Linked DNA regions of Drosophila melanogaster. The protein of the gene in region 1 purifies or fractionates together with the protein of each later gene. This does not show direct contact. Each region holds a gene or a part of one and is shown in the gene's direction. Other genes may lie near its edges.

Region 1 (6,669 bases):
ACGTTATGAGAGCGGCATTTGTGAATCATCAGCCAGATGATTGCCACTTGTCAACGAAAAGCGGAAAATTCGCGAAAACTCAAGAACCGGGAAGCAAAGTGGTCGATTTTCCAGGGAACTGTAACGCATTAAAGCCCCTTTGTTGTTTGTTTCTGAATGCATTAGGGAGCTATTTATATATTTACTGGTGGTTTTCAGCGCCACCCACCTCGTTGGAACCTCGGATGGCGCCCACTTGAGCTTATCTAGCAGCCACTCCACTCCACTGCTCCACTCAGCTCCACTCCTGGGCAAAAAGAGGAGTATCTTGCAGAAAGTGGCTGCGCGTCAAGTAGGCACACACTCTATAAAGCTGAAGTCGATCTATATATAGCTGCATAGCAGCGGGCACCGCGATGTGTGTGCATGTGAGTATCTGTGATCATAACAATTTTGACCTAATTTTGTATAGCTGGCACACGAAACATGAAAGAATTAGAAGACACCCAATGGCCGCTGAGTGATTTCTGTCTTAAGGTGGAGGTAGGTAGGTAGTTGGGGAATGGGGTTGGGATTGGGGTGTGTGGATTTGGGGATTGGGGAGCCAGGAGATCCTGTCCCCATCACTGACCTCAGTGCAGCTGTAAAATGATGGGCAATGGGCCGGAAAACAGACACACAGACACCTGGCAAGCGGGCATCAACTACGCATAGAACTCAAATCTTGATGAGAATGGGATTCTTTGACTAAAGGTGTCGTTCTTGTCTGGCTTTGTGTTATTTTTGGCTGACTTATTTATCGGCGAATGGCTTGCTACATATTCGCCAGGTTATTTTTAAATTATTACACATTCCAAAATGTGGCAAACACACAAAATGTTAAATATTATTCTACGGCTGCCTGGCGCGCACTTATATATACAGATGGGTAGCGGCAACATTGTATATATGCATGCATAAAATAAATAAAGTTATGGCCAGCAAAGAGCCAAGTATCTAAAAGATACGAATGCGAACGGAGCAAGAAACTGCTCTAATATATAAGGATGGTTAGCCCATCTAGAGCTCTAGATGTGTGCGTCAGTTGGCCTCAGGTGAAATGTGTGTGGAAAATGAACACGATTATGAGCAAGCCGAGAAAAAAGGCACAAATAACACGAAATTCGGTTGCTAAAAATAAGCGAAAATTCATTTTTAAGTATAGTTAGGCAAATGTGTGTTTGTGTGTGGAGCACAGGTGGAGGAGATCGCTCGAAGACGAACGAGAATTTTCACTCGAAAAGCTTCGGTTCCTTTGGAAAAGTGAGCCAAAAATCGCCGAACGAAGCGTGTTCGCAATGTAACAGAAATTATTTACACAATATGTATTTACTATGGGGGCACATGGAGAGACCCGTCAGTTGCCAAAAAGATATAATGCAGAGACAGTCATCTACGTGACCATTGAACAACAATTGTTAGATGACATCGCATTGTCTGAGGCTGAGCAGACTGCTGTCCGCACGGCCAAGGATTCACTCAAAATTGTATATTTTTGTTTATTTCGCACAATTTTTTTTCACACACTCTCTACGTCTATTTATTTATGCTGGCGAATAACACGTTTCGATGCCAAAAGTCAAGTATTTTTAGAAAACATTGCTGTAATCCTAATTGGCTGTTAGCGAATAATTTAGAAGGCATATCATAGAAAATTTTGACACTTTTATGATTTTTCTGCTTGTGTAAAAATGTTGTAATACCCCTGAGATCTGTATAGCATATATATTTGGGCTCTATATTTGGCTGGGGTTTCATGCTCTAGCCTCTTTTCTTTTTGATAATAATATATGCTAAATCAATTTGAAATCAATCGATTCAAATATTTACATATATAGTCTCTAACGCTTAAATGTATTCAATATTCTAGATGTTCTAATGTTCTAGAAACCGTTTCCAAAAGTCAAATCATTCTATTTAAGTTTGCTCCCAGAATTATATCTCAATCTTTATAGTCTAGGGACTACGTGCTGGAATACTGGTTTGGCACTACCTTTTAAATAATATCCGAGGCCCCTGAACCAAGAAAATGTGCCAATAAATATAAATTATGAACTTTATGATCTGCAGAGGATGCCAAATATTTCAACATGACTTATATGTATGTACGTTCGAGAATTGGGAAAATTTATGTGTAGATACATTCTGGCCAGACGCTAGATACACAAAATGAAACGCACAAATGACACAGGCTAATTACAGGTAAGCAATAGAAAAGAAAAGACAAGAAAAGCAGGCGTACTTCGTGTTTTTGAGTTTATTTTCGTAGGGGGCAAGCTCTCAGGCAAACTAGCGTGAAAATGCGTTCACACAAGCTTCGGCCCAAGTGAAATGAAAAATCAAAGAATTTTCCACACAACTGAGCAATTAACACAACAACACGGCCGCGTGAAAAGTCACTCGAAAGTCCCACTCACATTCACATAGGTGGTGGTGGTGGCTTATAGATATATCTCAGGGTATATCCCACTCGGATCCGATCGGCGGGGAGCCGATGGCGCCCGACGGCGACCGAAGGCTCCCGAAGGGAACCGAATAAATCGTTGAAATAGACGAATTCAGCTGGCAGGCCAAACCAATTCAACGAAATACTCTTTATTCGAACGACAACGGGATCTCTTGTTCAGTAGATCACCAGCCTTACTCCGACGTTTATTACGAATTTTCTCGGTGACTCGGTGACAACTACAAAACTGCGTGCGGTGCTGTATAGATTTTCGCTTGAGAGGAACACACAAATCATAATACTAGATACGCGAACCGATCGCACATTAATTTATAGAACCAAAATCGAAAATCTGACCTAGCAAACATGTCGTCATCGCAGGCTGTCCGCTCCTCGAAATACTCCTACCGTGCCACGTCCACCGGACCCGGTACCGCCGATGTGAACATCGAGTACATCCAGGACCTGAGCTCGCTCTCCCGCTTGGAGGTAAGGATCCCGTCCCGCTCCGTCTCGGAATCTCGAATTCGAATTCGTAATTGGAAGCGGACCGGTATCGTTTAAGAAATCGGCATCGTATTGGGCACCAAATCCCCAAAAAGACGTTGGAATTCCGACCAGGGAATAGGAATACGAAATGCGTGTGCGCCAAATTTTCTTCAAAATCTACGAGAATTTCTCTCTCTTGTTTCGGTGTCTGTGTAGAGACTGAAAAAGAATCGGAATATAATCAAGAAAAAATACGAAAAACAAACTAAGAAACCCGAAAAATTCATCTACACTCTATATCAAATGCACATATATACCGTAGATATATATTCGTGTGTTAAGTTCTCGGCGCGTTCTTGTGTGTGGAAATATAGAAAATTCGGTGAAGCAAAATTCTAGATTTGTATATGTATCTAAACGTGTCTGTATATACATATGCATTGCTAAAAAATTATGTAATGGCCACCTCTGGGCAATACATATACACGAGAAAACATCGAAGAAAAATTTGTGAAGAAATCAATCAACTGTGCTGTAAAGTGCTTTTTAATGAATGTTTTAATCAAATAATATGAAATAACGAGCCCATAAAAGATCAAACTCAATAAATGTATCCACCATTTTCTTGCAGGACAAGATCCGTTTGCTCCAAGATGATCTTGAAGTTGAACGTGAGTTGCGCCAAAGGGTGAGTCATTCAATATGGAAATATTCATAATTTTAAATATTTTTAAGTTATTTTTGAACCGAGTATTTTTAAGGTATTACTATAGGTTTCTTTGGAATATTTTTGAACATTCTTAATTTATTGAGAGCATCGTTTTTAGTCAATAAGATTATTTGCTGATGAAATCGGCGTCAGAGATATGACATATCCGAGGAAGTTAGAAAAGATCAGACCGCATTCTCCGAGACCCAATGGAAATCAAAGCGCCAGGGAAAACCATTTTTACTTTTTTCACCTCGCAAATGTCACCCTAAAAACAGCAAAAATATGTGGAAAGCCAAAATAAAATCAAAATAGACCAAAGTAGCAGTAGCGATAGAACCGATAGAAAAGTCAGCAAACAAATGCAAATCTAAGAATAAACTACCCTTCGTAGAGTTTCGAAAGTGTGAAAGTAAATGATAATGATGTGCATTGAACTTCAATCGCTTTCGTTTTTGGCTTTTCCTTCCCTGCGGAGCATTGATAAATGATTTTTCCCCTGACTTTGCAAAGACAGCGGCCGCAAAGACAGCAAAGTCAGGAACAGCCAGAGAAAAGTGGGAAAATTCGCAGGCCGAAAGTGCACTTCATTCAGCGCAATCCTCTTGGGCGTTACAAATTTAGAAAATGCGAAGAGCTCTTGCCGGAATGGAATGGGCTGGCCAGGAATGTTCTGAAAATTTTGTTAAAAAATCAAATTTAATTACTTTGTGCCTTATGGATTAGCACGCACTCGCACACAGATACAACGCCCCCCAACACACACTCACAATATATGGAACAAAATGGCTAAAATTAGCGCACGACATTCAATACAGAGAAGCGAATGATTAACTTGAAAACAACCAAAATATGAGCAGAGAAGAAAAGAAAATAAAGTAGCCAAAAAGTCATCATCATCACCATCTTCATGATCAGCGGCGGCAGAGAGGAAAATTCGCTCGCTCACTACGGGAAAATCTTCGCTTTTTGTCTGTGGGCGTGTGTCTGTGGGAAAATTAAATAATTTTCATGCACATTAAAAGTCTTCACACCGCCTGGCATTCTTTCTACATATCCACATATGCATATATAGGCGGCAAAAACATGTATCTACAAGATACATATGGCGCAAATGGATTTACGGCCCGTACTTACGTGGCCTTTGTGGCAATCGGCAACTTTTTGTTATGCCAAATGAACGGACAAACACATGTTCGCCTAGGTATTATCATAAACATAAATGTACAAACATATTCAGCGAGAGATTTAAAAGAGATTTATCAGACCAATACGTTCTTTATTTAAGCTTGGGGCATTTCAGTTAGCTGAATTTTTTATGATTGCTTCGGACAGCTCCAAATACCAGAAATCCCAATGGCCGCACATAGCTTTCATAAAATAGCATTTAATTGCAATTCGCAAAATTGACCAAACGAGGTCGTCGACAAAGGCGAAAAGCAAATGTTTAGATTCCGAGGGAGCCAACAAAAAATGTTTCTGTTCAAGCGAAAAATGTTCGAATGCCTTTTTGGAAATGCAATCTAGGAAAGCGGTGTGCGGCCGCCCACAAAAGATATATACGCATATATAGACGCATATATCGTGGATGCAATCGGACTATGGCTACACCTCTGCGTGGAAGATTTCTTGGCAAGATGCCATTGTTATTTTAGGTGTTGCATGTGCATAATTATTTTTGACTGATTAATGTGATTTATAATTTTTATTATGGGCTGTTTGAGTAGCCACAGAGCATGGCTAGCGCAGGGTATTTATAGATCCTTCACATTATACCAAGTCGCTAATGAAATCTCTTCTTAATCTCTGCTTATATTCTTCAAATTTCAGATCGAGCGCGAGAAAGCCGATCTCAGCGTTCAGGTCATTCAGATGTCCGAGCGTCTCGAGGAGGCCGAGGGTGGTGCTGAACATCAAGTGAGTACCATGTGGTAAACCAATATTGCAATCCAGCCATAACTGATGTATCTTCCAATCCCAGTTTGAAGCCAACCGCAAGCGCGACGCTGAGCTGCTGAAGCTGCGCAAGCTGCTTGAGGATGTTCATCTTGAGTCGGAGGAGACCACTTTGCTTTTGAAGAAAAAGCACAACGAAATTATCACGGATTTCCAGGAACAGGTTGAAATCCTAACGAAAAACAAGGCCAGGTAGGCATTGCAACAGGCTCTGGCCATCGCCACCGACGTCCCCATTTCCATTCCATTGACCCAGAAACCATACCATATCCAAAACATAAACATCTCCATCCCGAGCTGTCATGCATCCGCAGAACATATTTATTTGCCCCCAATGATGATGATCAAGTGGCGTCAGCTGGCTCTTGCGGACATTTCAATGTCTCGAGATCTCGTGCAGTAACTAAACAATACAATGCCTAACCTTGCGCTGCCCCGTTGACCCAAAAAAAAAAAAAAAAACAGAGAAAATCGAAGCAGATCATAAACCATTCATCAAAATGCCATGACATGCGAAATGCAAAGCGAAAAAAATCAGAAAACATAAACCTGCATGGCTTGCAAGTTCTATTGGCACAAATCGCGGCCGAAAGGCCAAACGAATGAGAAAAAAATTCGAGAAACTTTCGGTTGCTGGCCGCCTCTCATATTTCCAAATCGATGCGAGCGATTTCCAAAAATAAATTCCTAGGAATTTTGAAATCGCAACAATTCAAGGCTATCAAAAGATAACGAGTCATTTAGATTAATATGCATTCGGATAAATCAAAATCAACTCATATCCTAAGATTAAATCAAGTTCAAAGTTGAGTTTCTTTACCGTTCTTTAAGATTTCCACCTTTAAGATAGGTGCGCCCGAGTTTGCGCACTTCCGTTCGTAGACAAGGACAGAAGGTCGGAAGATCAAGCAGCCGTCCCACTCTATCGAAAAAGCTTTGGAAAGCTTTCGCACAGCGAAACTTTCTTCCATATGTTGTGCCCACCACCCCATACCATATTTTCTTTCTGAGCGGAAATTTATTTATAGAAATTTTGAAATTTTCATCCACA
Region 2 (4,791 bases), on another chromosome or scaffold:
GATCGGAACGGTTCGGGATCATTACCGCGACCGGCAATCTTGCCGAGCGTACCAATCTTGCATATAGTGTAAACATAATAATCAACGGGCATTATATGCCGATATTTGCCGATATATATATATTACATACATATGCATGTGGCGATCAGCAGAATGCGCTTTTGCAAAATGGCCGGCGGTCAGCGCGGCCCCCAATTGACACCTGAGCGGCCGAGCTGCCTATTATTGCTATTTGCGCTGCTGTTGCTGCAGTTGCAGCTGTAATTGTTATTTATGCACTTGCATTTAGCCGACTGTATGTGGCATGTGGAGCAGCGCATAGCGGCCATGCCCCCTGGGATGGGCGTAACGCCAGCAATTTGCAGTGCTGCGCCAACGATTACGTAACAGTTGGGAACACTTAATTGTGGGGCGAAAAGCGACCCACAATGATGATCAAAATTAAAGTGCACTTCGTCATTATCAGTCGGAAGAAAAGAGGGTTTAGAATCCCCGATCTATTTTTATTCCTCAAAATTAAGAGCATATAATTATTAATCACAAATCACCGACAAGAAATCTTCAAATGTCAAGTAAAACTCCAAAATATATATATTTTTTGTTAATAATTAAAAACATCCCGACGTTTACTGTGTATACATATTAAATCAATATTAAATATAATTACCTTGATGCAAATACAAATATTTGGATTTCTAAACATTACCAATTAGATTTTCCAATTGGACTTTGCAGTCTAGTTGGACACACACGGACGCACGCACACGCGCAAACTTCAATATGGCGGCCGCGACAAAAACGAGACAGAAGATCCTTCTGCTGATCTTACAAAATCGGATAAATAAATAAATTTGCTAGTTTTTTTTTTGTTTTGGGCAGGGCTCGCGTGCTTAAGTTCAACTTGAAAAAGTCGCAAGTGACTACTGTGCGATCCCTGGAATCTCAAGCGGGAAAAAAATAAAGATAAAATGTGTACACAGGTACATACATACATATGTACATACATATATGTATTTATGTACGTAAGGAGCAGCTGCCCTCTTTTGTTGTTGCACTTAAAGTCGCTAAAATGCGGTGCGTTCGCTTGTCAAAATTGCAGCAGCATTCAGCCTTTTTTATGTTAAGAAGCCACAAAGAGATGACGCAGTCGAAATGGTTAAATGAATTAACCCTTTTACTTTGCACAAACACACACACACACATGTGCTTGCAACAGGCAATACAGTGGCTACAACAACAATAGCAGACAGGGCTTTGTGATTTTTCTGGCCGTTCTTGTAGTTTTTTGCCCAACACACGGATTAAGCTACACCCTCGGAAAAATATTCGACACAAAATCACGCGATTTAAACTAAAAAATAAATAAATAACACAATTGCGCGGAAACTTGGGAATACACGGCGCTAAGGATATCGATTACTTATTACTTATTACTTTTTATCGATTCGCATCGTCGGAGCATTCGCAGGGTACTGCCAACTTATCTCAATTTCCTAAAGGTCATTGAACTCAAATATATATATAAAAAAACGAATGTAGCATTGCATTTATAGCCATTGATTAATATGAAAGGAAAGTATGTATAAAAGTGCAACCAGTATTTGAACTTGCATAAGTTAAAAATCAAAAGTTAGCTTAGGTCCTATGATTACACCAATCTATTTGACCAAAGTACATAATTAAATATTACATCCAAAATTCAATTGTTCCTGTACAAGTGTACTAACTTTTTGGCGTTTCATGAGCGGCTCGTGTGTACAAACATTTATTTAAATGCTTACCCCCACCCCGTAGCCACTTCAGATGAAGCTGGAGCTGGAGCCGAATCTGAAGCTTGGAGCTTGAAGTTTGGAGCACGGTGGAGAATTGCGCGTAAATTCGTTGCGGTCTGCGCGTCATCAACGTAATCGCCGTCAACAGCAGTCAACAGCATCAAACTGGCAGGCAAATGTTGCTACTGTTTCCAGACGCAGTCCGTCCGGCCAACAGAAGCAAACGAAGCAACAGAAGCACCAACCGCCGCAGTGAAGTGGTTTTTTATGATCAGACGAGATGAGCCGAGCCCAAAGCAGCACTTTCCATCCGAGAAAGAAACCGAGGCTACAACAAAAGCGTGTCTTTCGAGTTCGCTAATGGGAACTACATATATGTATGTACATACATATGTACATTCCGGGTACAAAGTGCATTTTGTGGAAACCCTTTGGGCAGAATGTAAACCATTAACAAATTGTAGCAGACCTATGGCCTATACATTTCTTATTTGTTTTAACTGTTTTGACTCTTATAAATGAACATATTTTCAAGAATCTGAATTAAATTGTAAATTAGTAGAATGAAGCTCTTTCGAAACTACCTCGCTTTGCTCCTTCCGTTTGATCATTTGACCATTTTTGACCATTTGCTTTAGGTTATGGCATTTTGTCCATTTCGTATTGGTCATTCGGTTTTGGCCATTAATTTCGTTATATCATTTCGTTTTTGTCTTGCTTTGGTTATTTCGTTTTGGTCTTTCATCTTAGTCAGTTCGTTTTGACCATTCGTTTGGGCCGCTTATGTAGTTTTAGCCAAATCTTTTTGACCAAATTGACTTGAGCTTAGTTCCTGGCTCTACATATTCTGTTATTTTTTTTTTTTTTTAATTTTTGAGCTGGAATTAAAGCGTTTCACTTCAAACATAGTACACCTGTCGCACAGACTTATTGTAGTTAGTTTTGTCAAGCGTTCGAAGCGACTGCAGAAATGAGGGTCTACTTGTATCAAATGCGCCCGGTGCTCTTTCTCTTCTACATGGTGGAGACGACGGCCAACTTATTCGTTTTGTACTACCAACTGAAAGCATTTGTTTTCGTCAATCTGACAACGATGAAATGGGAAGATGTTCTAATCCAAAGCTTTTATATGTCCTTCTTTTACATATTCACAGTGGTAACGCTCTTTGCCAGCATAAATCTCTGCACCGGTCATCGCACATCGATCGTTGAGGAAGTTGTGCGTCCTCTGATCGGATTTGTTCTATATACGGTAATATCGTTGATGGCACTGGGCGATGCCGAGACGGATTTCTATATATGGTATGATGGAAGGAACCCGGATGATTTACTATATCCGGAGAAGCCGCTCCATCCGTTCTTCGGTAGCCTGCGGGACCAGGCGACAGCCTCATTGGTGTCCAGTGTTATCTATCTGCTGCACTGCCTCATTGCGTTGGATGTCCTTCTGTCGAATGACGATTCGGATAACGAACGCGAGTCATCCAATTCCTCCGACGATGTGAACGAAGAGGTCGACTACGTTCCAGTGCGTCTGTACGTCTTTGGCGGCGTGATGCAACGCTGGCTGGAGCAGTTCGACTGGTTTCAGGACTTTACCCACAGTGGAGTCACAGATATCTGATATTTTATCATTAACTTCATTTATACAACTACAAATTACATGATAAACAAAACTTCGCATCGCTTTTCTCGGTGATTATGCAGCCTTTGGATTTTGGTTACATTCGGTGCAAGAAACCCTAATCATCAGCATTCCCATGACGTCAGTGGGAAGCAACAGTTCGGTCTCTGCATCATATAAAGCTCATTGTCGTCAATGTGCCAGTGATAAGCAGCTGGGGCCAAAACATCTACATAAGTACGCGTATCTATAGTATCTATGTATCTTGGTACGAGTATCTGTATCTGCTAGTGCGCAGGTCCAAAGTTAAAGCGAACAATCGATATATGTACTATGATGTTTGGGGCAAAGCGGCAGTCAAGAGCAAGGTGAAGCATTGCCCCGGTGCTCCTGGGTGTGGTGCTTTTTTCATTCATAAAAAAAAACTGGTCCACATGACATGTGGACACATTCAAGGCTATTTCTAGACCAGACCAAGGATGTCCTTATGCCTCTCATAAACTATGCAATATGATTAGAAAGTCTGAATGTTTAGAATTAGTTTTATAAACTCACAAACTTCGGTGGATCAAAAAGTTTGGCCAGGTGAAGCTAATACTATGGCCTACTTTTCGGGGTTATTTTAATAATATGATTATTGCTGCCATGCTTTTGTATAAACAAATCAATTTCACACTCTTATTAAGTAACATTTTTAAGTACTTCCCCTCTTATAAAGCTTGAATTTTCCATACGGAAACCCAATTCAATCTTAAATGCTACAATTTAAATAAAAAATCACATAAATACTCGACTTTAAACAGAAGTCAAACAAAACAGCAATAAATCTGCTCAAAAATCACGCTTAACAAGAAGAAAAAACATATTTTCCGCCCACGCAATAAGCGAATGTGAAAATGTACATAAATGCGAGAGGGAAAATCGATAAGGACGCCATTCCGCAGGAGCGTCGTGTCCTTGAAATCGAAAAAGGGAAAGACCATTCATGAAGTTGGCCGAACTTTTCATGAATGAAAACGGCCAGCGAGGAGAAAAGTTGACACATTTCGGTGAGTTTGCGCACCATAATGTGCGAATTTTCCAAAGGGGAAAATGTTCTCTCTCCAATTTCACTGCGAAAACTTCCCCATTTTTTCCGGCCACTGACGCAACCACAATGCGCTGTTCCAAGGTCAGCGTAAAATTTCATTCATAAAACTGATACGCCCCGCGGCGTAGATATACATGTATATATATCCATGGCGCGTGTAAGTTCCCAGAAGGTGGTCATGGTTGGGGGACAGGAGGTTAGAGCTGGATGTTGGGCGCGGATTTGGGCCTGAGTGAGCACTCCATTTGCAGCTTGTTGATTTTTCTACGCGTGCAAACACAAACAAAGTGGGAAACCATTTCATT
Region 3 (5,373 bases), on another chromosome or scaffold:
GAAAAAAGATTGCCCATTGGATTGTAGCATACTTTTTATACATATTATTTGTAGCACTAAGTCTACAGCAATTAAAAAATGAGACATTATAAAATTTAATCCCAACGTAAATAGTTCAAAACCTACCTATCTTTAGCAAATAGGCCACTATATTTACACAAGTTTTTAGCTTACGTTTCATCTTTTCATCAGCAAATAGTATTCAATGTTCCGCGCTGGCACTGGGCCTCATTATAATTTAAATTAACTGAATTTGCTTTATTTGATTTAAGTGGCTTAGTGTTCCACTGCCTTTGTGGTCCATTGAGAATGTTCTGCTCCAGTTGTGGAAGAGCCAAGGACGCTGGATGGGGCCTTTCTGTATTTATTAGCCAACGCTGGGTTTTGACCCTAAAGGGTGCCTATCTTATCCCATCTGGTGGTGGCTCTGGTTTCCTTTCGGCCATCTCTTTTTATTTTCTGAAATTAATGCGGCAAACACTAATTAATTGCGCAGGTGTTGCAGCTGTTCCGTAGCTCTCTTGTTGTTGCTTCCGGTGTTGTTATTGCATGGGATAAGCCTAATTGAATTTCTGTAGCTTTTTGCTAGGCTTGCGGAATTGGGAGCTGGAGGTCCTATCTCGCCATTGGTTATAATTAATTACACAGCTGCCATTATAGGATACCGCTTGCATTTATTATCTTTAAATTATTGATTTTCATCAGATATGTAGAGAAACAACTGCCACAATTACCGATTTCCAGTTATTAACTGAATTGGTATTATTAACTTTTAGTGAGAGCTGAATATATTTTATTATAAACCTTGCTTTCCTTTTCTAATCTGTTGGTCTAAATAAAACTTCTGGTTCTAGTCCAAATGATTTATGAAAATTGCAACTTTAGTAAGCGCTGACCGTAATCAAATTCACGCTTTGCACTTATTTAATTGTTCTCCTTTTTAATTTCCCATAGCTAATAAATTGACTTTTATGACCGGTCATGAGAAGCTCGTAAAATTTGCATATGACTTCTAGCCGAGCTTTTGCCTTTAAGTTGGGGTTCTTCAACGGTTGACGGCATTATTATTATGTCAACGTAATGTTGTCGTCAAATAGTTTTTCGCGTGACATTTGCATTTCAGTTCAACTGAGCTGAGCTGAGTTGAGTTGAGTTGAGCCCTCGGGTCCGATGACATTTCATTAGCCGTTACCAGTTCTTCGGGCACACATATTTAATAACGTGTGCCATTGTTTTTCATTGTCGTTTTATGTGCTGTTTATATTTTTATGGCATGCCATATAGTATTTAATATTTATATTATATATGAGTCGCATGCGACATTCATTCCCGTTCTATCATGTCTACGATAAAACAGTTTTATTCCTTTCCACTACAGGAAACTTTTGGGGACAGCGAACTTCTTCACCAGGTGGAAAAGCTGGAAAAGTTGAATAGGCTACCTCCACCTCCTTGAACTGAAATCAAACTACTTGAGGAGTCAGCCACCGCTTCGTGTTTGCAGTTATTATTGTCTATAAATCGTTGGAAGGTCTCCGATAGGAGCTGTGGGGCATTATACACGATGACATTATGAATTTATTACTATTTAAATATTTTACTTTTGTTATGGCCCTGGCAGGCGACGATGGGCCGCAATAATCGTTCTGACATTTGTTTTCCCTGGCGTGCGTAACTATTTACCAGTTCGCTCCGGTAACTTCGTCTCCGAAAGTCCAGGGGGTGACCCAGGCACCGGTATATAGTTTGAGTAGGTCATGAATTATCGATGCTGTCAGCAGTAAATATTGATAAAATATATGAGGCAAAGTTCTGGCACGTAGGCATCAACTTTGGTAGCTGCCTCTATTACCATAATTAAATAATTCGGGCAGTTAGCCGACTTAAACGGTTCCGCTTAAAACTCATGCATAAATATATACATATATATACATACATCAGCAAATTACCCGAATGTCACTTTAATTGTTAATCAGCTAGACACATCTGTGCCACAAATTAATCTGCAAACCAGTTTAGTTTGATCGCACGGACTTGAGATTTTGAGAGTCATCTGAATATTTGGACTTTGATAACCGCACTTGACTTCAGACTTTGGAAAAAACCAACAAAACAATAAAAATAGGTAGGAGAACAACTGACAAAGTTAAAACAGGTTTGACGAATCAGACGTTCGTCATTAATTTTATCATGTAATATCAGACTTATTTCAAAAAAAGGGTCTATTAACAAAATTATTTAATTATTAATAATGGCATTAGAATCACCAAGAAATAATTTGTTGCGGTAATGAGGTAGCCTTATTAATATGAGACAAATTTTATAATGGTGGTATTAATAGATATATTTTGGTTATAAGGGTTATATATAGGGAATGAAGAAATATATTTAAGCGCAGACCTTATATAAGGCTTACAAATAATTCGAGCATCTCATGGCCTCCGTTAACTTATATTAAATTTTAAGTGTTACTAAAAATTTTTGTAAGTAATATAAAATGTTGCTTTTATATTCTATTCTCTAAAACTCCCCTATCATGCTTTGCATGCACTTTGTTTTAACACCTCCATAAAAATCAACGTTAGATTGTATTTCAAGTTTAAGGTTTTGGAGTTACGTGTATTGTTAAATCAAATTAGTTGACGTTGACGCTTCGCTGGGCACTCTGACCCTTGGGAAGTACAACACACTTTTAATCGGTGGAAAATCTGAAACTACAATTAGCACTTACATTATGGCTTTGAAGCGATTTTAGCCTAATAATAAGCCCGAGTCTGGGGCATTAGGGCCAATTATAGGTACAATGGAAAGCCGCAGTGAACTTGCTTCATTTACTGATTCGAGTATCTGTTGAACTTTAAACCGAAATGGTAAAAAAAAGTGAGTCAGTTTCGGGTTATCAACAAGATCGGAGAGGGTTTAAGTAAACTAACCGGTGTATTGCCGTGTGTATGTGTAATAATTGCTTATACAGTGTGATCAGCGGAGTAGAGCGAAAACAAAAAGCGATAATCAAAACAAAACTCTGACGAAGCTGCATGCAAAATCGTATAAAAGGCAGATGCTAACAGAATAAATTCAACAGTTTCGATACCAAAGGGTTTCCAACAACATCTCTACCGAAAATGAAGTTCCTGATTGTCCTCTCCGTCATTTTGGCCATTTCGGCTGCTGTGAGTTACAAATAGTTTCTGATTTAAAGGGGTAGTATTGCTAAGTGTATCTTTTGAATATATCTTATAGGAGCTGCAACTATCCGATGAGCAGAAGGCTGTGGCCCATGCCAATGGCGCCCTTTGTGCCCAGCAGGAGGGAATCACCAAGGATCAGGCGATCGCCTTGCGAAACGGCAATTTCGATGACAGTGACCCCAAGGTGAAATGCTTCGCCAATTGTTTCTTGGAGAAAATCGGATTCCTGATCAATGGTGAGGTCCAGCCCGATGTCGTTCTGGCCAAGTTGGGACCCCTGGCCGGCGAGGATGCCGTGAAGGCCGTTCAGGCCAAGTGTGATGCCACCAAGGGAGCGGATAAGTGCGATACTGCCTATCAGCTATTCGAGTGCTACTACAAGAATCGCGCCCACATCTAAGCGCCAAATCTCCGATATTCTCCTGTGTGATAATCTGTCTGTGACTTGTTACTTATATTGTTTTAATTCAGTATATCAATTCGTAAACAAAATTTTTAGATCTGTAAATGTTTTGAATAATAAACTCAAGAATATATTTCGTTTTTAAAAAAAAACTTGACAAGAAACCTTTGCGAGACTATGTTCCAAATAGAAGATCATGCTTAAAGCTTTTACATAACTCTCCTAGAATCTCACTTGGCATTTGTTAATATTTTAAATATTAATGTTAAACGTTTGATCAAATAACTTTTTAGCTGTCCAACAAAAACTTAAAGGAACCTTCCAGGAAAATAACTTACGTAAACCCCTAACAGAGAACGCCTTTTATTGTGTCTCAAAGGAAATTAAGGTGAAATTCTTATACATAATTACTTATGCATATTCGACTTGTCAATGGATGCTCCACTGTATGACCCATTTGCGTTTTGGCCGCGTACCCATTTGCATAACAGTGGGCCGTCATTAAGGACCAACCACTGTCAGACCGTCGTCAGGGGCTTAAGTCCCTGGTACAGAGCGGCGATCCCAGAGGCATTTGGCCGCTCATGTTTGGCATAAATATTGATGAGCGACGGCAAACTTATTGGCACAAAGACCTGGGATCCCGGCGATACAGGATGCGTTGGGGTTCGAGCAAATGAATTGGACACGGGGAGCCGTGTTTTTAAAAGCCCAAATCCAATTAACAAATCATTAAACATTCATTGAGCACGTGTCGCAATTGCATTTACTGGTTCAACATGGATCAGGTGGCATCGGAGGGAACAATTGTTCCGACTTTGGCTTTGACTTTGGCTTTTGGGGAGTTTGGATCGCAGCCAGGGTCCATAATTCATTTTGTCACTTCCTGGGGTCGGTCTGGCTGTAATGTCACTTCCATTTAGCATCCGTTTCAGTTGCAGTTGTCTGCACAAGAGCTGATGGCCGATGGCCGATGGCCTTCCCGGCCAACCGAACAAACAATCACTGATGCGTTTACTAATGTCTATTAAAAAGGCAGCCCAATCGAAGGATTCCACCCCCCCGAGCTAATGCATTTAAGTAGACAGCCATGGCGGCTTGTCAAAGGAGCCAACACGCGTGAGATGGTAGCACATTGATGCTCGACATCAGCCTTTGTCTTGGCCGTCTTGTTTGACTTGTCTTGCTCCCGTTAGTTGGCTTTCAATGGCCAAGGACCAAGGATATCGCTGGAGTTGGGGTTGAGTGCTGATGCTTTGAAGGGGGAGGCTTTCCCTGCGGTTCTCACATTAATGTAATTTAATTTTATAAAAACTTCGCTGCAGGGTGGCTGCCACTTGCTTGTTTCATGCTCCGATGTCTCTCGCTTTTTGTCCGTCCATGTGAAGTTTCTTTGATCTTAAAGACCAATATGTGATGTGGCTGGGGATGCTGCGGTTGTGTTTCCGATTATCAGCAGAAGTCTGTTATTAAGTCCGTCAATTAGAGTGGTCCAAAGAAAGAAGGAGTTCAAGTAAACCAGTTGCTGTGGCTTGAACTAATGTGATTGAATTTGTTTGCAATACAACTAGACTAGTAAGGAATATAATAATTTTATCTTAGAAGGAAAACGTGTTCTATGTACTATCATTTTTCCGCATACAGCTTGTAACCACTTCCATAATCTAATTAAAACTTCTGGTTGTATTTTTTTATGTTTCCACAACTACAACAAGAAAAACCCACATTGCTTGCAAAAACAAATTAGTCAAAAATTACAATGATTATTTTAATTGAAAT
Region 4 (6,810 bases), on another chromosome or scaffold:
GAAAGCTTAGCTAGAGGAGTATCATTACACGCTATTCTAAAAACCAGGAAAAGAATATATTTTCGCAGACGTGCTCTCAAGAATACCATTACACCAGATTAACTCTGTTTCCTTTACGCAACATAGTGCTGAAAGTTCTAGCCATGATCTAGTATTGTAGTTCATGTTGAAACAGCAATATATGTTCTTTAAAATCTAAAATTCTTTTACAATCAGACAGATCCAACTTCAGGCTTACATTTCCACTTCCAACCTTCCATAAACATAAAATATACAGTCCGGAATATACTACATACAAAATAAGAGCAGACCTAAAGAAACATCTCAACCCATCCGTAATAAACTGCATCCACATGACTGAACAATATTATTGAAAACTACAGACAATCTACCGAAGACACACCGTTACCGTTCAAATAGAACGGTTCCATTTGATTCCATTCGACACTTTCCGAAATACTGAGATGCCTCAAAAGAGGAGGTTCAGATAGAAATTTACAAAAACTTTTAGAAAGAACAAGTTATAAGTACAATTACGGTTTCTATTCAGTTACAAAGGAGCGACCATTAGAAGTATTCAGAAAAGTGACCCAAACTCGGACCAAAACGAAACAGCCAGACAACACATTTTGAAGACTTATCAAACAGAAACCAGACCTCGGAAATCATAATAAAAAGAAAAGGGAAATACGTAATTATCAATAATAATAGTTCTTAAATTGGCTAGGTCCCAGGTGAAAATACATAGCGGCCACTCCAGATCACGATGACCTGGTCATAATAGAGCAGAGCTCATTGACAACAATAACCAACAAGTCATTGTTTACAAACAAGAAAGAATAAACAAACTGACTACAGTATCTAAAGCTCTAACAATTTCTATACAAAAGGGCAGTTCCGTTCGTTTAGAAATTGCTCTTAGTTTACAAACCCAGATTAGACTCCTAAAAGTAGAAACTGCCATCCAGTGGGCGCGACAAGAGGTCGTAACACACTAGTACTAAATGAAGATGAATTAATTGAAATAGAAAGAATATTTAAGGGAAACAACATGTTATTACTATCGATGAAAGAAGCTATGGCGTTTTCCGAGGTCTCTATTCTACATAATAAGACAACACATTTGTACATCGTAAAAGTCGCAAACTTTATAGAAATACTAAGATATCATTGTAAAACCAATAGTTAAAAACAACAGAACTACAACAACTTAGACTTTCAAGAAATCTTTGCTTTCGAAAATCTTACCTATATATACATATATAAATATGCGATGAGAAAAAAATTGTAAATATAAGAAATTAATTAATTAAATTAGTTGATTGCTCTCCAAATTTAGTTCTGGGAAAGAAAGATCTGTGTAGTTTTAGCAACTCCGACAACTTATCCAGAATGGAAGAGGTCGACGACGGAATCATCCTATTAAACGATTACGATGGAATCATATCCTGGATCCTCACAGAGCTTCACCTACTTTGTTTAGCTATCAAACGACTCGATGATTATCGACAACAGGGGGATTCGCCAACTTGGAACCTACAGCCCTGTCTCCTAGTTCGCCTCTTGTACAATTTACAGATGAAGAAAAAGAAAGACTGAGGTTATATCTCTTGAAACACTGAACCGTTGCATATACATAAAAGGCCAACAGCATAACCCTACTGACGCTCTTCGACAATACTCTGATTATCATCCTGGGCCTTCACACCTATAGTCAAAGGAAGAGAAGCATAAACTTGCAGCTTAGACCTATACCGGGAATGGAAACAAAAGTTAACATCAGCTACCTCAGTTCAATAACATTCCCTACATAAATTAGAAAGTTAAAGTTAATAACAATGAATTCAACATCGGTCTACAACAGAATGTAATAGAGTAACAAACCCCAAATATGCAAGCTCAGCGCCACCAAGCAGATTTCCCAAAATGTGTTTGGCAATTGTTTCCGCTCCCACCAGCGCTTGTGATTCCAAGAAGCCGACGTCGATCCTCTGCCAATAAGGACAGCACAGCCGACAGCTAAAGACTCGCAGCTTATAAAGACGATGTTCTCACTTAAGTTTATAGTCCAACTCTTTTAATGCTCGTTACTCATAGAGTAAAAGGGTATACTAGATTGGTTGAAACAGGCAGAAGAAAGCGCTTCCGACAATAAAATGTATATATATTCATGATCAGGATCAATGTATCGATTTGCAAAAAAAAATTTTGCCACGCCTACTCAAACGCCCCAAAGCCGACAAGCCGGTCACCCCCGCACTTTTGAAAAATTGTTAGATATTTTTCATAATTTTATTGGTCGTGTATATTTCTATTGATTTGCCAAAAAACTTTTTGCCACGCCCACTCAAACGCCCTAAAGCCACCAAACCGGTCACGCCCACACTTTTTTAACAATTTTTTATTTTTTTTTCATTTTATTTTTTTTCTAATATCAATCAATCAATCGATATCAATCGATTTTCCAGAAAAATTATGAACTTTCGCGTTAGCATTGACCCTAGCTTAGTTACTGGTATCTGATAATCAGGGAACTCGACTATAGCCTTCTCTCTTGTTTTATATTATTATACCCGTTACACGTAGAATCAACGAATCTAATTTTACTCTACACGTATGGGGCATAAAAACATATATATATTTTCTTATATGTATATATATTGTTTTTATATAATATTATATCTTAACAGTAATAGACAACTATAGACCGCCGATCACAATGGTAATAAGACATAAAACTGTACATTTGAATGTTGAATATTGTATCTCCTATATATGTATATGTATATGTACATAAAACCGAAAATAAGAATTGTGAGTTTTATAAAATGTGTGCTTTATAATAGGTTATGCATGTACTATAAATATATACTTGTGAATATACATGTGTGTAAGCTTGCAAAAATAGTAAATATTTTTCTATTAATAATCATGTCAATTAATTATCAATTCTTTAAATGTTAAAATGATTTTTGATATATTTTACTATTAGTGTTCAAATACAAAATTAAATAGGGGTGAATTGTTCGCTTTTTTTCCATTTTAAATGGTTAATTAGAGCATAATCTATATGGAAACTTTCACGAATAACATTGTAACAGGTAGGCTTAATATTTGGTAGTAGAAAACTGAATTGTTATTGATTGTGATTTCAAAACAGTGCTATAGTTTACTTAATACAATAATTACATTTAGTACAATGGAAACTCCTAATTAAAAATAAACTACCTTTTGAAAGAGAACAAATATATACAAATGCACTTTCTATACAATACACATTTGTATGTATAATGTTTAGATACATACCATGTAAATAATGTTGCCAAAGTGTACGACTTTTGGCAAAAGGTTTAGCAAATTTAGTTAGTCTGAAGTAAGCTATTCCGAAGGTAAGGAGCTCATATTTACTATTCAAGAACTTTTTACCTAAAAGTACTATTTATAGATACCAAAAAATTTTAATTTATTTATAGACTTTTATTAGTTCAGATAGTAATGGTATTTCTACTTTTAGCTATTTACATTTTATGAGGATAAGCTCCAAACAAATTCCGTCATAATGGCTTATTCCTGGGATAACCGTGTCGATTTTGTCGTTCGGTATATGTATGGTGAGTAGAAAAGGACTTAGGCTTATTAAACGTATCCTATAGTGAATTAAAATACCTTAAAAATTTACGTATATTTTATACAAAAAATTTAAGTTTATATTCCATTGCATTGAATACATAAAGCCATTTTTATACATATCTTCGGAACTATCCGAAATCCGATATTTTAACAATATATACATTTTATTTTAATTTTATTTAATATGGGACGACTATATCATATAGCTGCATTAAGAACTGCTTGAAAATTAAACACCCAAAATAGAATATAAATAAAAGTTTCGTTTTTTAACACTATGGGTGCTAAGTAGACATATATGTTTTTGTAATTACTGAAAGGGTATTTGGATAGGATTAATCAAATTTGCAAGCGCACAAATACAATAAAAATAACATTTACAATTGCTGCGGATCAGATTTATGTAACAATCTCAAGTCTGGCAATTTAAATGTTGCGCCATATTTATGATGTAGTTTTATAATCCGTTAAAATGAGGTCACATGGAACCGGTCAAGTGGTCATTGCAGCTTATATGAGGTTAAGCCAAAGACATTTGAAGAACAAGATGCGTAACGCCATACAATTTTTTGCACACAATTTTATCGGGATGGCTCCAGAGGTGGCTCAGCAGTTCTTTTCTACGCATACAGTGACAGCCGACAACTGTATGGTAATGCATTGTAAATTTGACAATTTACAAGTTCATAGACTTTACATCTGTATTATCTTTGTTTAATTGGCAACATGTAAAAAATTCTTGGCTTGCATGGCCTTAACCAAAGACCCTAGTGTCTAGTTTCTTTGCCTTAACTATATTATTATTTGAATATATATGTACATAATATCACAAAATAAATTTCAAAGATGACTATATTAGAACAAAGGTTATTAGGGCGTTCACTTGCCCCTTGTGAAAAATTAATAAGGCAATCATTGTTGCAATAAACGTGTTCGTGTCTCAAGATATGACTTTTGCAATAAAAAGTTTTCATATTTTTATTCATTTTATAAATATTTATTTTCTACTACTTATTATTTTTGTGAAATATCTTTTCCTCAATGTAATGACTTCTTTTTGGAAAAGTTATGTTTTAATTTAAAATTTTATTATTTTATTTTATTATCCGTTTGATTAAAGCTGACTATACGCCGAGCTTCTCTATTTTTTGAAAGTTTCGCTATATAACCTAGTTTATATATTTAATTAAAGTCGTTTTGTTGCAATATCGTACTTTAGGTGATATATTCAAGGTGTAAATTCGTAATTATTATTTTATTTTATCATATTGCTAAGAAATTGGGTATACTAGGGTATACTAGACTCGTTGAAAAGTATGTAACAGCCAGAAGGTAGCGTTTCCGACTATATAAAGTATATATATTCTTAATCAGGATCAGTAGCGGACATGTCCATCTGTCCGTATGAACGTCGAGATCTCAGGAACTATAAAAGCTAGAAGGTTGAAATTAACCATACAGGTTCTAGAGATAAAGACGCACACTCATTTTTTCATATTTTTATTAGGCTTTAAAATTTCTATGGATTGGCCACAAAACTCTTTGCCACGCCCACTCTGACGGCAGGTTACAGCTAGGTTATGTTGATCATTAACCGAAATTATATTAGGCTAAGTTAAGCCGAGCTTTAAATCTCTCTAAATGCCTATGGGACTCTTGTGGACTCCAAATGGCAACCTCAACTTCACTTGGTCGTAGGGAAAATATTTCAGAGTGTTCAGACAACACGGTTTTCGAGTGTTCGCTTGGATCTCCAATCGCTAAGCTATGAAATCACTGAAATCTATATTCATTGTTAATGGTTTACAATATTAATCTTTGTGCAAATTAAAAGTGTTCCTTTTTAATTATTTGAACAAAAAATTTTTATTTTATTATAATTTAATATTTTATTCATGATAGACCTTTTCACTTATACTATTACAAGACATTCTTTTTATCTCTTGTCTTAAATTTAAAACTGTTCACGATCTCGTCCCGATTCAGACTGATCTTCTAAATATTAATCCTAATCCACTCAACCTTGGCCAGAAGCTTTTCTTTAGGATTTTCTTGAACTGTAAAATATGTTTAGGGTAAAAGCTTTATACTGAAATTATTTCACAGCATTGTGAAATTCAAATTTGTTGACTAGTGTTTACTTTAAGTTTGGTTATTCATCGGGTGGCTAAGTGATGGCGACTAAACGAGGACAAAGGAAATGCTGATGAGATTGGAGTTTTAAATTTGTTTATCAACTGGGTCAGAGTGCTATATTTACGGGTTGGATAACTTGCACATTTGTGCTTTTAAGTCAACTCGCACGTCCACGACGGTTGCGAGTTTCTTACAACTGCTGCTTCTCAGCGCTTGACATTTAAACGATTGACATGTGAGAGATAGCGGGAGCACAATACTACTGTTATAAGCTGGCGGTACAATATATACATTTACATATAAATGCAGTGGTTCATACAGATGCTGGGTTTCTTTGGTTTTTGGAGCATTATCTACGGCGTAGGTAAATCTGGGCGCAGGGTCGAAATAATATTTTCGAACTTACGGCACGGCGGCAACATTTTATTTGTCGACTTAACACATATTAATATTTCTCCTATTTGTTTTCCATAAAAAAGATAATCTTTTAAATATTTATCTATTAATATGAAAATTTATTTTTGTAAGGATAAGCTAACATAATAATGGGAGGGTGAGTAGCCAATTTTAATGGCCCACTATAAGTCTAATGATTCTAAACTAGAAATTGTTCACGTTACAGATTGATTCAAATTCATTGGGTAATCACCGAATTGATCTACAATTATAAGAAAATTGGTAATTTTTTCGGTTTGAGGATGTGGTACTCAAGTAAATTTTAATTTTTTTTTTTTTTGTAATTTCATAAGTCTTAAATTATGTTCTGTTTTAATTTGTTCTTTTTTCCGCTTTCAAATTCTTTTAATTAATTAATTAATTCAATGCTTGTGTACCCGTTACGGGTAGAGTAACAGGGTGTTTTATATTTGTTAAAAAGTATGTAGGCGGTTGCAGGAATGGTTTCCAATTCAATAAATTATATATATTCTTAATCAGGATCAAAAGGCCTAGCCATAAAACCTAGATAGTTGACAGTAAGTGTGCCAATTATCAGGATGTGGAAGCAGCTTGCTTAATAAATAAAAATTTTTTTAATTTGTTATT

What was found.
Region 2: the proteins of Prm (region 1) and CG14315 purify together in Drosophila melanogaster (affinity purification with mass spectrometry, with the first as the bait; one large-scale study listed by BioGRID). This does not show direct contact.
Region 3: the proteins of Prm (region 1) and Obp56d purify together in Drosophila melanogaster (affinity purification with mass spectrometry, with the first as the bait; one large-scale study listed by BioGRID). This does not show direct contact.
Region 4: the proteins of Prm (region 1) and Scp1 purify together in Drosophila melanogaster (affinity purification with mass spectrometry, with the first as the bait; one large-scale study listed by BioGRID). This does not show direct contact.

The regions. Positions count from the first base shown.
Region 1 is NT_037436.4:8,741,247-8,747,915, reverse strand, and holds the start of Prm (paramyosin), read left to right. Parts: upstream 1-2,605; 5' UTR 2,606-2,830; coding exon 2,831-2,953; intron 2,954-3,584; coding exon 3,585-3,641; intron 3,642-5,492; coding exon 5,493-5,579; intron 5,580-5,643; coding exon 5,644-5,810; intron 5,811-6,669. UniProt on the Drosophila melanogaster protein: Paramyosin is a major structural component of many thick filaments isolated from invertebrate muscles.
Region 2 is NT_033777.3:18,156,028-18,160,818, forward strand, and holds CG14315 (uncharacterized protein), read left to right. Parts: upstream 1-2,673; 5' UTR 2,674-2,742; coding exon 2,743-3,396; 3' UTR 3,397-3,444; downstream 3,445-4,791.
Region 3 is NT_033778.4:19,701,503-19,706,875, reverse strand, and holds Obp56d (Odorant-binding protein 56d), read left to right. Parts: upstream 1-2,960; 5' UTR 2,961-3,125; coding exon 3,126-3,173; intron 3,174-3,243; coding exon 3,244-3,591; 3' UTR 3,592-3,952; downstream 3,953-5,373.
Region 4 is NT_033778.4:2,963,896-2,970,705, reverse strand, and holds the start of Scp1 (sarcoplasmic calcium-binding protein 1), read left to right. Parts: upstream 1-2,653; 5' UTR 2,654-2,722; intron 2,723-3,361; exon of another isoform or gene 3,362-3,389; intron 3,390-3,514; 5' UTR 3,515-3,559; coding exon 3,560-3,611; intron 3,612-6,810.